Saccharomyces cerevisiae S288C: one gene and its partner. The gene in region 1 interacts genetically with each later gene. Each region holds a gene or a part of one and is shown on either strand. Other genes may lie near its edges.

The links. Genes that interact genetically often act in the same process or in processes that back each other up.
Region 2: mutations in SMI1 (region 1) and SLT2 are lethal when combined (synthetic lethality), as found in Saccharomyces cerevisiae (8 studies listed by BioGRID, with this or other methods).

The regions. Positions count from the first base shown.
Region 1 is NC_001139.9:947,433-952,608, reverse strand, and holds SMI1 (Smi1p), read left to right. Parts: upstream 1-1,709; coding exon 1,710-3,227; downstream 3,228-5,176. Other genes in the region: prohibitin subunit PHB2, read left to right, coding at 1-61; BNS1 (Bns1p), read right to left, coding at 302-715; OTO1 (Oto1p), read left to right, coding at 3,384-3,557; DIE2 (dolichyl-P-Glc:Glc(2)Man(9)GlcNAc(2)-PP-dolichol alpha-1,2- glucosyltransferase), read right to left, coding at 3,612-5,176. UniProt on the Saccharomyces cerevisiae protein: Protein involved in the regulation of cell wall assembly and 1,3-beta-glucan synthesis, possibly through the transcriptional regulation of cell wall glucan and chitin synthesis.
Region 2 is NC_001140.6:168,390-172,063, reverse strand, and holds SLT2 (mitogen-activated serine/threonine-protein kinase SLT2), read left to right. Parts: upstream 1-1,719; coding exon 1,720-3,174; downstream 3,175-3,674. Other genes in the region: RRM3 (DNA helicase), read left to right, coding at 1-1,265; YHI9 (Yhi9p), read left to right, coding at 3,503-3,674. UniProt on the Saccharomyces cerevisiae protein: Serine/threonine protein kinase involved in a signal transduction pathway that plays a role in yeast cell morphogenesis and cell growth.

The DNA.
Region 1 (5,176 bases):
TAATGAAGCATTGTTGCTAAATACCGTAGTGGATGCAAGAATCGATGGAAGGGGCAAATAAATAGCGAAGGCTAGATATTATCTTTAAGAATTGAGTAACAATGTTAAGATGCCATATACTTGTGAATACAAAATAAAGGGAAAGAAAGCGATGCGTAAAACATAAATATTTGTATGTCTTCTAGAATAAGAATAAGGAGTATTACCCCGTATCATCTTGTATTGTTGGAGAACGTATATAGTATAATATGTAACACATACAGCAAAAAAATAGGCCAATTTATGATCATCATCCGTTAAATTAAATGTCTACATTCGGCTTGCGTGGTATATTCTGTTTGCCCCGCACAAACTCCAGTGTTTTGGGTTGCGATTTGGCTGAGAAAAGTTTTGACTTGTGATCATTCAGTTTTCTAGAGCATGGTGAAAGCAAATTGTCTGACGGCGACGCAAATTTTTGCCTAAGTTGCGTGTTCAAGTTTTTCCTTTGATCTTCCACTGCTTTTCTTTTCCGATACGTATTCTTGAATACTTGTCGATGAAGGCAATGCTTTGCAAATGTCTTCGTGTTATGCGCAACTTTAAGACTCATTTTCAAGTGTTGATTAAAAGAATCTAGATTTTCATCCCTCCTGGTGCAAGACACAGACGTATTTTGGATTTTTCTAATCAATTTTGTCACTATATCTTGGGATGCCGATCCGCCGTATGACATCGCAAATCTGTTACTTTTTTTTAGCGCAATGATGTAGTAGCCTCTGATTAACTTTTTTTAAAAAAAAATCACAGATAAGTAGAGGAAGAAGAATTTGCTGCTTATTGGGAACTTTCAATAGAAACCTTTTGTAGAGGATTTCGTTATTTGTTCAAGAGAATAAAAAGGTATACATTTGAAATCCTAGCATTAACTTCAGATACCTTCCACCTTACTAATCGCAGGCCTTTATGACAACGGAGGAGAGTTAGAACGAAGCAGAGAGGCTCCAATCTACATGGGAACATCGCAAAAGATGCGTACTCCGCACTGATCCATTTACCTGCAGGGCTTAACATGCATTGCACCACCGTTTGTACATCATAAGTTAATTACATTCCTTTTTAGGATAGTCTACTATTTATTTTTTCCCGTATCTGGAAAACCCCCTTAGATCCTTGTCACATAATCATAAAAATAAAGGCACCAAGCCCTAAAGCACGTGACATATGTCATTACCCTAGATTACATATAGGGCTTCCAAAGCCCTATTGGAGGTCGAAAAAAAGAAAAAAGAAAATAAAAAAGCGAAAAAAAGAAATGCATAATTCGCAGATTGTTTTTTTTTTCTTTTTCTAATGTCAGTTTTCCTACTTCGAGATCAAAAGAATGTTTTTGCACCGCAACTGAAAAGGTTGTGTTTTCTTTCCAGAGTAAATTACATTTTAATCAATTCTTTGCGCTGCTACGCAATCTTCAAACGCAAGTCCATTCTTAGAAATTTTAGCTTCTCTCAATATTGAAATATTTGCAAATACGCCATTCAAGAATCAAGCCTGTTGAAAATAAAGGTACAAAATTAAATCCGCTAATTATTTTTTTTCGTGTTCGACTAAAGTTATCGAAAAATTGAAAATATACAAGGACTAGCTATACTATCAATACGCAAAGAAAATACAAAATAAACGCACATTCGTTCTATAGGCGACAACTTGGCAGAATTTTTTAGTATAAAATGGATCTATTCAAAAGAAAAGTTAAAGAATGGGTATACTCCCTCAGCACTGACGACCATTATGCAGAGTATAACCCCGATGAAACGCCTACTTTTAACATGGGTAAACGTTTAAACAGCAACAATGGTCAGGTAAATCCCTCTCAAATGCATTTGAATAGTGTAGATGAGGAAATGAGCATGGGATTTCAAAATGGCGTGCCATCTAATGAAGACATAAATATTGATGAATTTACGTCCACGGAGTCAAACGATGGTGTCTCTGAAACCCTCTTAGCTTGGAGACACATCGATTTTTGGACCAGTGAACATAATCCAGATTTAAATGCAACTTTGAGTGATCCTTGCACCCAAAACGATATCACTCACGCAGAGGAAGACTTGGAAGTTAGCTTTCCCAACCCAGTAAAAGCGTCTTTCAAAATTCATGATGGCCAAGAAGATTTAGAATCGATGACCGGTACTTCTGGCTTGTTTTATGGCTTCCAACTAATGACACTAGATCAGGTTGTAGCTATGACTCAGGCCTGGAGAAACGTCGCAAAGAACCTAAACAAAAGATCTCAACAAGGTTTATCCCATGTTACATCTACTGGCTCTTCTTCATCTATGGAAAGACTAAATGGTAACAAGTTCAAACTGCCAAATATCCCAGATCAAAAATCTATTCCTCCAAATGCAGTGCAACCGGTATATGCACATCCTGCTTGGATTCCTTTAATAACGGACAATGCCGGTAACCATATCGGTGTTGACTTGGCGCCTGGTCCAAATGGTAAATATGCTCAAATTATAACATTTGGGAGGGACTTCGATACGAAATTTGTCATTGCTGAAAATTGGGGTGAATTTCTGTTATCGTTTGCCAACGATTTGGAAGCTGGTAATTGGTATTTAGTAGATGACAATGACGACTACTTTAGCGGTGATGGTGAATTGGTCTTCAGGGATAAGAAATCTAATGGTCCTATACAAGATTATTTCGAAGTTTTAAAAAGAAGAACGTGGATCAAGTATCAAGAAAACTTGAGATCACAACAGCAAAAATCTCAACCTGACACATCCTTGCAGGAGCAGAAATACGTGCCTGCCTCGCAAAAGAAAGTGGCAGCTGAACAGCCTTCTACCCTCAACGCAGAATCCATAAAGGGCGAAGATAGTGGTAGTGCAGATGTACAATCTGTTCAAGATCACGAATCTGTCAAAATTGTGAAAACAGAACCTAGCGAAGCGGAGACTACAACTGTAAATACAGAAAGCCTTGGACAAGCAGAGCATGAAATCAAAGCTGATAATGTAGACATTAAACAAGAAAGCGAGAGGAAAGAAGACGAAAAGCAACCAAAGGTTGAAGAAAAAGAACACGTTGAAAACGAACATGTCACAGAATCAGCAAAAAAAGACGATGATGTAAATAAGCAAACAGAAGAAATGAACAAAAAGGAAGAAAATGAAATAAGAAGTGATGATGCTAAAGTGGAAGAAGCGAGAGAAGAATTTGAAAATATAGCTTTATGAAATATCACAATTAACATTCTACAACCAAAAAGAAATTTGGACAATATTTATTTCTATTAAACTGTTCTAGGTAGGTTTCAACCTTAAGAAATTTATACAATATTATCATATATATATATATATATATATAGCACAATTCCCTTACGTTTACCAACCATGAACGTTCGTGGAAATCAATGCATTATGTCTATAAGAGTATTCCTAAAAGCAGGAGAAAGTTCGCTATCATTTGCCATTAAGTGGCTCAAACGGTTTGAGGCCACTACGAAGAAAAATCAATATATACAAAACGGTTGGCCACTAAAAGATGGAAATAAAAAAAGAAAATAAATACTACTAGTAAACATTTATAGAACGTCTTTTTGCAACTATAATCAATTCTGTTCACCATATTATTCTTTGCAAATAGGGCTCAGTGGTCCAAGGAAATGAGACCTTGGAAAAGATAACTAAAGTAACGACATTGAAGAGCATGAACCATAAAAATTCCATGAACAGTCTTTTCGTACTGCTTATGGTAATTGGGTTTTCGCCTTCTTTAGCAGGTTTTAAATCCTTTATCAAAGGTTCGCAGCTGCAGGTAATAAATATTCTCCAAAAGAAATAGGGCAATATATAGTAACGAGGTTCGAATAAGGGTGATGGAACGATAGTTACCATGGTGCACGTTATTAAGGCCGTCCACGATACATGTGTCAGTTGTATGGGTAAATGTACAGGTTCTTTGATGGGGAGTGGAGTGATGGGGTGAAAGGTGAGCTGGTTGGGTCTCATCACTTCAAGGTATGCGAAAGTGGAGAAATGATAGATTGGTGTCATAAAAAAGTACTTGATTAGTCTACTTTTGTTGCCTATCAATCTTCTGAAGAGGTAGAACGTGTAGTGTCTATTATCTGCTAACAAAAATGGGTGAACTTTTGTAAAGTATCTTATGATTAGCATAATACCAATAAATTCAAAAAAAGTTTGTACTGGCTTCCGTTTTATTCTTAATTTGTACAACTTCATAAAATTACGAGATATCCATATAGGTAAACTGAAAACGGTGATGAATGTGAAACAATAGAATATTTGTACTATATGCAGGCCTGCTGAGTGGCTGGACTTATCACCTAGTGTTATGGATCTGTTCCAAATCAGATAAATGAAGAACAAAACAAAATTTATCATATAGGGCAGAACAAGGTTGGAGAAATCGTCAATAGCATGAATGAATAATTTCAAATAGTTATTGAACGTATGCGTGTTGAACTGTTTTTGTAAAATGGCTGGGCGTTCAACAGCAAGAATCATTATAAATCCCGTCCAAATGATATTCGTTTGTCTGAAGAGACAGCTTACACCAGCAAAAAAAGCACTCAACCATATACTCTTCACGGGGCCAAACGGTAATGTTAACACGCAGCTGAGTGATTGCAATATCAGAATTGTAGACCACACATCGGTGTAAAATAAGTAATAATAAGTTGTCATCAATGGGAAGCTCATTAATGAAACGGGCCAAAAACCTAAGGCATTAAAAAGGAATATTGGCCTGAGTACTAAAATGGGGAAAACGATAATCCCTCCAAGTAAATTAACTAATCTTAGTATGGTTAGTGTGCTCCACGACTTGAATATGGGCTTTATACAATAATAATTAATTAAACCCAAAATATAGATTCCAGGGGGGGTTGTTATTTTAGGGTCCCATTGAGTCCATTTACCTTTTAAATAGGTCAAAGTTTGGCCAACGTGAAACTTTTCATCTATAAATTCATAAGGTACAATATTTGTAGTCATGTAACGGAAAGTTAAGACAAAATATATTAGAAGAAGAGGATATATTACTACATTACAGAAGATACCGGTAATGACTTCTTGTGTTAAGTTTCTCGCTATACCTGGTGCAATCAACTGAATCGCTGCTTCCTCTTCCAATACATCATTATTGGCTTCACCAGTATTTT
Region 2 (3,674 bases), on another chromosome or scaffold:
GTATAGGAATCGGGAACAAAACTATCGACCAATTGGTGAAAAAAATACAATCACAAAAGGACTTATTGGCCGCATGGAGGTATACAAAAGTTTTGATAATTGATGAAATTTCTATGGTCGATGGTAATCTGTTGGATAAATTAGAGCAAATCGCAAGGAGAATTCGGAAGAACGACGATCCCTTTGGTGGTATTCAATTGGTCCTGACAGGCGATTTTTTTCAACTACCACCAGTTGCTAAGAAGGACGAGCATAACGTTGTGAAATTTTGTTTTGAAAGTGAAATGTGGAAACGGTGCATTCAAAAAACGATTTTACTGACAAAGGTTTTCAGACAACAGGATAACAAACTAATTGATATTCTAAATGCCATAAGATACGGAGAGCTGACTGTCGACATTGCTAAAACAATAAGGAACCTAAATAGGGATATAGACTATGCCGATGGAATTGCTCCTACAGAACTGTATGCCACAAGAAGAGAAGTTGAACTATCCAACGTAAAGAAATTACAGTCTCTACCTGGTGATTTATATGAGTTTAAAGCTGTAGATAACGCGCCCGAGAGATACCAAGCGATACTAGATTCTTCATTAATGGTGGAAAAAGTTGTCGCATTGAAGGAAGATGCACAGGTAATGATGTTGAAAAATAAGCCTGATGTAGAATTAGTTAATGGATCATTGGGAAAAGTTTTGTTTTTTGTTACAGAATCGCTGGTGGTGAAAATGAAGGAAATTTACAAGATTGTGGATGACGAAGTTGTCATGGACATGAGATTAGTGAGTCGGGTCATTGGTAATCCCTTGTTAAAGGAATCAAAGGAGTTTCGTCAAGATTTGAATGCCAGGCCATTAGCTAGATTGGAACGTTTGAAAATCTTGATAAACTATGCAGTTAAGATCTCTCCGCATAAGGAAAAATTCCCCTATGTGAGGTGGACAGTGGGTAAAAACAAGTACATACATGAGCTCATGGTCCCAGAGCGCTTTCCCATTGATATTCCCAGAGAAAATGTCGGGTTAGAAAGAACTCAGATTCCATTAATGCTATGCTGGGCACTGTCCATTCATAAGGCACAGGGTCAAACTATTCAAAGACTAAAGGTCGACTTGAGGAGAATTTTCGAAGCCGGCCAAGTTTATGTTGCACTGTCAAGAGCGGTAACTATGGACACCTTACAGGTCCTAAACTTTGATCCAGGAAAGATTCGCACCAATGAAAGAGTAAAAGATTTCTATAAACGTTTAGAAACTTTGAAATGACTTGCAACGAATAAATGCATATACTCTAGTTGAAGTTTTCTTTTCTTGTTCTATACAGGTTCGAATACTTGTGAGCCTATCTGTATAATTTAACAGAATCCCGAAATATTCATCTAGAAGCCATCTATTTAGCTAAGCCTACGTATGCGGCGATTTTTATATTATCTTTTTTTTTTTTTATAGAAGACTGCGAAATGTTGGCAGAATGGAAAGTTTCAGTGTTAAAAATAGAAACTGAAAAAGGAGATCTAGCCAGGAATATATCGAAAAAAAAAGTGAGGGAAATCAGATCCTACACAAATATTTAGATTTAATTGAAGACCCTGGTCTGCCAGATATATATATATATTAGACGAACTGTGCATTCAGTCAGCAAATCTAGGCCACAGATTTTCTTATTGAAGCTATCAAAATAGTAGAAATAATTGAAGGGCGTGTATAACAATTCTGGGAGATGGCTGATAAGATAGAGAGGCATACTTTCAAGGTCTTCAATCAAGATTTCAGTGTAGATAAGAGGTTTCAACTTATCAAAGAAATAGGGCATGGAGCATACGGCATAGTGTGTTCAGCGCGGTTTGCAGAAGCTGCCGAAGATACCACAGTTGCCATCAAGAAAGTGACAAACGTTTTTTCGAAGACCTTACTATGTAAAAGATCCCTACGTGAGCTAAAGCTTTTGAGACATTTCAGAGGCCACAAAAATATTACATGTCTTTATGATATGGATATTGTTTTTTATCCAGACGGGTCTATCAATGGACTATATCTTTATGAGGAACTTATGGAATGTGATATGCACCAAATCATCAAATCCGGTCAACCTTTGACGGATGCTCACTATCAAAGTTTCACATACCAAATATTATGTGGTTTAAAGTATATTCATTCTGCAGATGTCTTGCATCGTGATTTGAAGCCCGGCAATTTGCTTGTCAATGCAGATTGTCAATTGAAAATCTGTGATTTTGGGTTAGCTAGAGGTTATTCGGAGAATCCTGTCGAAAACAGTCAATTTTTGACGGAGTACGTGGCCACTAGATGGTATAGAGCTCCGGAAATAATGTTGAGTTACCAAGGATATACCAAGGCGATTGACGTATGGTCAGCTGGCTGTATTTTAGCGGAGTTTCTTGGTGGAAAGCCAATCTTCAAAGGAAAGGATTACGTTAATCAATTGAATCAAATATTACAAGTTTTAGGGACACCCCCAGACGAAACTTTAAGAAGGATTGGTTCTAAAAATGTTCAGGACTACATACATCAATTAGGTTTCATTCCAAAAGTACCTTTTGTCAATTTATACCCAAATGCCAATTCACAAGCATTAGACTTATTGGAGCAAATGCTCGCGTTTGACCCTCAAAAGAGAATTACCGTGGATGAGGCCCTGGAGCATCCTTACTTGTCTATATGGCATGATCCAGCTGACGAACCTGTGTGTAGTGAAAAATTCGAATTTAGTTTTGAATCGGTTAATGATATGGAGGACTTAAAACAAATGGTTATACAAGAAGTGCAAGATTTCAGGCTGTTTGTGAGACAACCGCTATTAGAAGAGCAAAGGCAATTACAATTACAGCAGCAGCAACAGCAGCAGCAACAGCAACAGCAACAGCAACAGCAGCCTTCAGATGTGGATAATGGCAACGCCGCAGCGAGTGAAGAAAATTATCCAAAACAGATGGCCACGTCTAATTCTGTTGCGCCACAACAAGAATCATTTGGTATTCACTCCCAAAATTTGCCAAGGCATGATGCAGATTTCCCACCTCGACCTCAAGAGAGTATGATGGAGATGAGACCTGCCACTGGAAATACCGCAGATATTCCGCCTCAGAATGATAACGGCACGCTTCTAGACCTTGAAAAAGAGCTGGAGTTTGGATTAGATAGAAAATATTTTTAGGACAAAAAACTATAAGTAACCGGGGAAGTATAGAATCACCATAGATGTAAGCTTACAGACAATGTGTATATATGATGTATATGAACGTATACAAATATATATATATATACGTGCTCTTGTTGTAGCTCGTATATCAAATTCCTCCTCCGACGCTTATCTTAATCGTACTCCGCGGAAGTTTGTTATCGCCTCTTGAATTCTTTCTTTTCGTTCATTTATGATTAGTCATCTATAGACAATATTCATTATTTAAGCACCTAGAATACTAAACTAAATGTCTAAATATGACACAAGGAAGATAAGATAAAAAAAACCAAGCGCTTAGAATATGACTTTAATGGTACCTTTCAAACAAGTTGATGTATTCACTGAGAAGCCCTTTATGGGAAATCCAGTAGCAGTAATAAACTTCTTGGAAATTGATGAAAATGAAGTCAGTCAAGAAGAATTGCAGGCAATTGCCAACTGGACAAACTTATCAGAAACAACGTTTTTATTTA